Mus musculus: one gene and its partner. The main gene of each other region encodes a partner of the protein of the gene in region 2 in a complex. Links are inferred from orthologs where the notes say so. Each region holds a gene or a part of one and is shown on either strand. Other genes may lie near its edges.

Region 1 (3,500 bases), on a different chromosome or scaffold from region 2:
GGGCCAAGAGTTGAGCTACAGCATTCTGCAGCTATATCTAAGAGGCCCTCCTTAGCTCTGTCAAGGATGTAAAGTTCTTTCAGGGGTTAAAGGGGCCTACTTGGGGATTCAGGTGGAACCTGGGTTAAGAGGCCCCTGAATTCTACAGAGTGGTAAATAAAGCAACCTCCATCAGGGAGATGCCCCAACTTTCATCCCCATGGTAACACATCAGAAGGGCCTGAGTCACAGGTATTAGATTAACCAGGAAAGCATGAAGATAAATGAGAACCACAAGGGCTCATGGGAAGGGAAGGTTGACTTACTCTGTCACCCTTAGGACCTGGAAGACCAGCTGCACCACGTTCACCAGGCATTCCCTGAAGACCGGGGGCACCCTGGCTACCGGGAGCTCCGGGGGCACCAGTATCACCCTGTTTAGGAAACAAGATTAGTGAGCCCAGAGGTGTCTCAGAGCCATGAGCCCACTTAGGATCCCTTATGTGTGGATCCCAGATCACAGGTTCCAACCAGAGGGACAAACTCACAGACCCGACCTTGTGACTCCTGGGCCCCCACTCTGGTCTTGTCCCCAAGTCCTATGATCTGGGACACAACCGTCATGACCTTTCCACGATGCCCTCACCTTGGCACCATCGTTGCCGGGGGCACCATTGTTTCCTCGGGGACCAGCAGGACCTGGGGGACCTTGTACACCACGTTCACCAGGGAAACCTCTCTCGCCCTAGAAAGGAAGGAAAGGGCACATGATGCTCTGACAGGACCAAGCTTGGGATGTCGTAACGGAAGTGGCACGAGAAGGCTCACTTACTCTTGCGCCAGAGGGTCCAGGGGCACCAAGGTCTCCAGGAACACCCTGAGTGTAGAAAGAGGAACTGCAGTGAATCCAACCTACCCCCACCCCGAGAAAGAACCTCTGCCCCCTCTTCCTAGAAGCTGGACCTCAGGAGCCCACAGGACCACATACTCAGCTTAGAACTGAAATTCCTCATTACAATAGGAAGGCTTGAGGTAAAGCCAGAGTTATTCCAGGAGTGTGTATAGAGAAGTCACCTTGCCTAGAGGCTACCAAGCCAGTGCCAGATCATTTGCAGTGAGTGCCCTCACACATTTGGTATATCCAAAGTCCTCCCTTTGCGTTTAATCCCTATCCCTCTAGCTGGTGATTCCCACCCCCATCAGCTGCAAGCAGTGGGTGGCTGTTTTCTTTGTATTTCTTGCATGCTCCCACCTTCTGTCCTGCTGCTACCTCTTACCTGTTCACCAGGCTTGCCTGCTTCACCAGGAGGACCGGCAGGACCAGGAAGACCCTGTAAGGTGGGAGGTGGAGGGGAGAAGAGGTAGGATTTAGAATCTTTAACAGTTAACAAAGGAGTGTTCTGCACTCTTCCCTGCAAACCTAAGTCATGAAGCCTCACCTGGAATCCAGGGGAGCCAGCGGGACCTTGTTCACCTCTCTCACCAGCAGGACCCTGTGGTAGAGAAGAGGCAGTGGTCATGAATAGTCCAAGGGGAAGGGAAGCAAGGCCCCACCTTTCCTGCTCCCCAAGGCTCGCAGACAGGAATACTTACAGCAGGGCCAGGGGCTCCCTGAGCTCCAGCTTCTCCATCTTTGCCAGCAGGACCCTGTGGGGAGAAGGCAATAAATTCAGTATGGGAGATGAGAGCCGCAGGTAGGGACTGGACCTCTGAGACACAGCAGAGCCCCCTAGTGACTTCCGATGTTGTGACAGTGGCTGCAGACATCCTCCATGGGAGGATGGTGTATGTCACAGGCAGGGGCAGAAAGGTCAGAGACTCCAAAGAGATACTTACAACAGCGCCAGGGGGTCCGGGAAGGCCTCGCTCTCCAGCCTTTCCAGGTTCTCCCTGTGTAGAAAGGGAAGCAAGATTGAGGGTCACAGGTCGAGACTCGTTACAGCCAAGGACCTCTCATTACAGTGAGCATTCCCAAGGGGCTTTCTGTTCAAGAAGACTGCAGGAGGCTGGCAAGCTTCAGGGTCTAGGGAAGGTCTTGCCGGCATCTAATGCTCAGCCTCTCTTCCTGCACCCAAAGCAGTCTCCTGCCCGAGACTCCTTCCTGGTCACCCTTCCCCTTCCCTTCCCCTTGACACACACCTTCACTGACTAATGGCAGTCATCTCAAGGCTCTCCTTACCAGACTTGGGTGTGACTATCACATAAAAAGACCATATTATCTGTGTGTTCAGGGGAGTCTGCCTAGCAATACTTATTTATCAAGGACAGAATGATGGTCATGGAGCCAACCAATGGTCTCTTATTTCACTAATGGGTCCAGAAAGGGTCAGTAAAGGGCCTGAGGTCACACAGAGTGTCAGTCGAGTTAGTATGCCTGTTGCTGGTTCTGTAGTGTTCCTCACTGAATACTCACAGCGGTACCCTTAGGTCCAGGGAATCCCATCACACCAGCCTGGCCACGGGCTCCAGGAGGACCTGCGGGTCCAGGGCGACCATCTTGACCAGCGGGACCCTGAGGATGGGAGGCACAAGAGTTGTGGTAAGGACTAAGGTAGGCACACAGGAGGGTAGGGTGAGGCATGAGAGAACAGGCATACTTACAGGGGGGCCGGTTTTGCCATCAGGACCAGGGCTGCCAGGACTGCCAGTGAGACCCTAGGGTGAAGCAGAAGGCCATGAACGAGGGCAGGAGGAGGGGGATGACAAGGGGAGGAGGGGGATCGGAGTGTGGGAGGGGGGGAGGAGTCTGGAGCACCAGCTGCAGGCTGCTCCAAGTCCCATACAGGACAGAGGATCTTCTCACCTTGGCACCAGGGAGACCAGCTTCACCGGGGCGACCAGCTTCACCAGGAGAACCTTTGGGACCAGCAGGTCCGGGAGCACCACGTTCACCGGAAGGACCCTAAGTGGAGAGAAGTCACAGACGCATCAGGGCCACAGCCTTGGCCTTATTACCACGGGTTTAGCATCCTCTTCATGCTGGGAGAAGGTCTTGGACTTTGAGGTGGATTCGTGGGGATGCCAAAGAGAGGCCAAACAAGAGGAGGAGGGAGACACAGCCGTGGTTGCAAGGCGGCAGGGAGCACAGCTGCGGACATGAGCGTAGGTGGATGTCAACCGTACTGTCAGGGAAGTGACGTCGGGCAGCTGGGGGAGTCAGCTTCTCTGCCAGGAAGAGAGATTACCTTGGGGCCAGCAACACCATCAGCACCAGGGAAACCACGGCTACCAGGTCCACCCTGCAGGGAGAAGGAAAAAAGGCCAGTGAGCCTATTACCATCACAGCACTGGGCAAGCACTAAGAGCAAATGAGGAGAGACACAGGGGACAGGGGACACTTACACGCTCGCCAGGAGGTCCAGGCAGTCCGGAAGGTCCAGGCTCACCACGGGCTCCTCGTTTTCCTTCTTCTCCGGCAGGGCCTGGGGGACCTTGAACTCCAGTAGCACCCTGGAGTGGGCAGAGAGGGAGTAGCCTTGGTGAGGGAGTACAAGCCCAGGAGCCTATGATGCTGGCCTCTA
Region 2 (3,500 bases):
TCCGCACTCAGCCCAAGAAGTGGTTCACAAGACTCCTCATATAATCCTCATCGGAGCCACACCTGAACAGCACATCTAAGCGACAACATTATCCTGCCGCACAACACAACAGGTTATCTTTCACAAACCTTCAGTCACGCTAGGAAGCGATCCATCTGTGAGCTCCACACCCCTCTACCACTCTCCCCTCCCGCCTGGCTGCTAGCCTTCCCTGCCCTGTTCTAAGCTTCAACCCACTGAGCTGCTCATCATTCCTGGGTACCATGCTCCTGCCTTCTCCCTATGGCTCCCCACTCATCTGAAATGGTCTGCCTTGCCTGTCTTCCCTCATAGCTCTCATATGCTCTGTGTGTGGCCTTTCCTCTTCCTGAGAGACCCCTGAAGACCCACAGGGGATATCCTGCCTTCTCTAAAACTTGGCTCTCAGGAGGACACCCTGGAGAGCTACGGATTTCCTAAGTTATCCCTCTTCCTGGGTGTCGGTGCTCAGCAGAATTCCTTAGGATGTCTGTTTGTTTTCCTAGAAGCAACCAATCCTCACAAGTTTCCTCGGATAGTTAACACAACAGATTGTGCTAGCTTCTCTTTTAGAAATCTGGCTTTTGAAGGTCAGAGTCCGTATGGCAGCGGAAGAGCTTCTAGAATGAATCTAGCCTCTTCCCCCAGCGCTGACGAGCACAAATACCCAAAGAGAACTCAGACAGAGGACGCCAATGGTGTCAAGGCCCACCATACAGAAGGACGGCAAGGCCCTCCTAGAAGAGGTTGTTTCGTTTAACAGTGTTTCTCAAACCCTTTAATAGTGAAACACCTCGGTATATTAGTGATGCCATAAAAATAGTTAACACGTATTGTTTAATCCCAGTTAGCTCAGTTAATCCTTCATGTAGTTCAGTCGACTGACATTCGTAACTGTTCTTCCTCTGCCTTATGGCCAATAGCTGTTTTTATCGATGATAATTGGATAATGTAGAGATCATCAAATGTAACCTTGTTTGCTTTCACAAGGATTAATTAGGTCCAGATAAACTCGTCAAAAGGGGAAAAAAATCTAATTACTATTGCCTGAATGACTGACTGCTAAGAGGCTAAGTAACAAGGCTGGACTATCACACAGTAAAAGCTAGATGGAAACCCAGAGCGCAATAGCGGGAAGGTACCACCCACAAGAGCTGCACTTCCTTCTTCCGATGTGTGTGTGCATGAGAGACAGCATCTTTTTTTTTTTTTATTTTTTTTTAAAGATTTATTTATTTATTACATGTAAGTACACCATAGCTGTCTTCAGACACACCAGAAGAGGGCGTCAGATCTCGTTACGGGTGGTTGTGAGCCACCATGTGGTTGCTGGGATTTGAACTCTGGACCTTCGGAAGAGCAGTTGGGTGCTCTTACCCACTGAGCCACATTGAGCAGGTTTGACTAGAACTCACTACGTAGCCAAGGCTGACTCTGGACTTCTGATCCTCCGTCCCTCTACTTCCTGATCCCTGGAATCGCAGGCACAACACACCCTCCTTTTATTTAGTGATGGGGAACCAGAACCAGGGCTTTGCGCATGGTTGGCAAGTGCTCCGACCCCTTCCTCAGACTCTGACCAAGCATCCAAGATACATACAAATACCTTTCTTTGTTTTAGTTATTCTTTTAAATTTATATAATAATTATTGGGGTGTTTTGGGAGGGTGCTGGGAACTGAACCCAGGGCTTGAGGATTCCAAGTACATACCACACATTCACTCACTATTGCTTGTCCATGTGAGGGAGGGTGCATGCACATTATCTATGTGCGCATGCGTGTGGAGAGCTTGTGCATGTAGAAGGCAGGGATTATGCCCAGAGCCATCTTGTTTTCTATGACACCATCTTTCACAAACCTAGAACACAACTTCCCCCAACTCCCCCAAGAAAAGTGGGCTGGCCAGCCACACCATCTCACTAACCTGGAACCACCCCCACACTTCCAAAGTAGTGTAAGCTGGCTGGTCTGTAATCCCCAGGTATCCTCCTGCCTCCACCTTCTTGGTGCTGGGATAACACCATCACACTTGGATATTTACTTTGGTTCTAGACTGAACTCTGAGTCTCATGCTCATAAGCCAAAGCCTATACTAATAGAGCCATGACCAGAGTACACTATGCTTTCCAACCCAGCCCTCTGTGCTAAAGGCACGTCTCAACTTCATTCCACTCAACTTTGTTCACAATATAGAATGAATATTTTTAAACAGTTATGTGAACGATTCCAGCTTCTTAGCTGAAACGCTATAAATCACCCTGGCGTGGAGCTGTCCCCGGTCCCAGCGCCTCACCGGCTGAAGCACTTTGTAGAGCATGTCGCTCACACTTCCACTCCCCTCTGCCATTGCCTGTGCAGACACACTGAAGCAGGTTTCCTCGGTTGTCCTTCTTGCTCCACGTGTCTCCAATCCTATAGGATGTCCGGGTGTCCTGATCGTTGCATCTGTCTGTTTCAGGAGAGAAGCATTGAATATAGAAGTTATCTAGTAACCGACACGCAGCCATCCACACTAAGATGGGAATGCTGCAGTTGAATGCTTCTGAGTGGCTGTTGTTGGTGTTAGTACATCCTACCCAGTGCTGGTGATGCATATATTAAAATTCAGATACCCGGTTCGTTACAGTACAGCCCTACCTCTCCATTTGCCAAAGGAAAAAAAGAAAAAATACTATTCAGTGTCTTTTATTGATTAAAAAAAATTAAGATTTTCTACATTGGTTCTTTGACTCAATTAATTATCTGGCAATCTACTCTTTACTCCTCAGTGTCTTCCAGACCTTTTTCTGTAATTACAGCCCATGGCCCTCCTTTCAATAAACAATAAGGAGGCAGGTCTCTTCCGACTGCCCCAGGGAAGCTAAAAAGTTAACCACACCAATCTCTCCACTTGTTATGTAAAAGTATTCCTGTGGAAAAACAACTTCTCTGGCTAGAAGGTTCTCTTTTCTTGCCCCACCCAAAACCACCTGTTTTACAATTACAAAGTCACCCACGTGGTTAACCCCAGCGTCTGGGAGGTAGGAGCAGGAGTGTTAAGAGCCCAAGGTCTCTCTCAGCAACACAGTAAGTTCTAGGCCAGCCTGGGCTTATGAGAATCCTCCCTGTATAATAGTAATTGTAATAATAACAGTGACAATAACCAATAGCAACGACAAAATGGCTTATCCCACGGTTAAAAGGTCTCTTCTGGAGTTAAGGATGCTGTCTCTTATTATCCTTGTAAAAAGCTGGCCCCAGGCATCCTTCTTCCCTCCCGCTTCTAAGATTGTCTTGAAGTCTTAATTGCTGCTTCTGCCTTCAAAGTTCCATTTAGAATTTCAAACTAACAACAGCCTTGGAATTTGCTGAAGCATGAATTTTAAAACGCATGCAAAAAAAAAAAAAGTCAAATCTAGATATCTTGAATGTGTTTTGTTTATCCAGCTTAAACTAGTAATTAAAAATACCACCCAAGTTCAAATTCTTTGCCACACAAAAA

Evidence for each region. The genes of interacting proteins can lie anywhere in the genome.
Region 1: the proteins of Fn1 (region 2) and Col1a1 are in contact, whole or in part, in a crystal structure (PDB 3GXE), measured with the Homo sapiens proteins. The link is inferred for Mus musculus from reciprocal best matches to the Homo sapiens genes FN1 and COL1A1. Residues at the interface, in NP_997647.2 of Homo sapiens: Asp516, Gln517, Lys533, His535, Glu537, His539, Leu541, Gly549, Arg550, Gly551, Arg552, Trp553, Lys554, Cys555, Pro557, Gln560, Phe569; in NP_000079.2 of Homo sapiens: Leu261, Pro262, Gly263, Met264, Lys265, Gly266, His267, Arg268.

Annotation. Positions count from the first base shown.
Region 1 is NC_000077.6:94,942,724-94,946,223, reverse strand, and holds part of Col1a1 (collagen alpha-1(I) chain preproprotein), read right to left. Parts: intron 3,430-3,500; coding exon 3,322-3,429; intron 3,219-3,321; coding exon 3,165-3,218; intron 2,882-3,164; coding exon 2,783-2,881; intron 2,635-2,782; coding exon 2,581-2,634; intron 2,492-2,580; coding exon 2,393-2,491; intron 1,870-2,392; coding exon 1,816-1,869; intron 1,627-1,815; coding exon 1,573-1,626; intron 1,473-1,572; coding exon 1,419-1,472; intron 1,311-1,418; coding exon 1,257-1,310; intron 857-1,256; coding exon 812-856; intron 725-811; coding exon 626-724; intron 414-625; coding exon 306-413; intron 1-305. UniProt on the Homo sapiens protein: Type I collagen is a member of group I collagen (fibrillar forming collagen).
Region 2 is NC_000067.6:71,643,235-71,646,734, forward strand, and holds part of Fn1 (fibronectin isoform a precursor), read right to left. Parts: intron 2,469-3,500; coding exon 2,313-2,468; intron 1-2,312. UniProt on the Homo sapiens protein: Fibronectins bind cell surfaces and various compounds including collagen, fibrin, heparin, DNA, and actin. Fibronectins are involved in cell adhesion, cell motility, opsonization, wound healing, and maintenance of cell shape.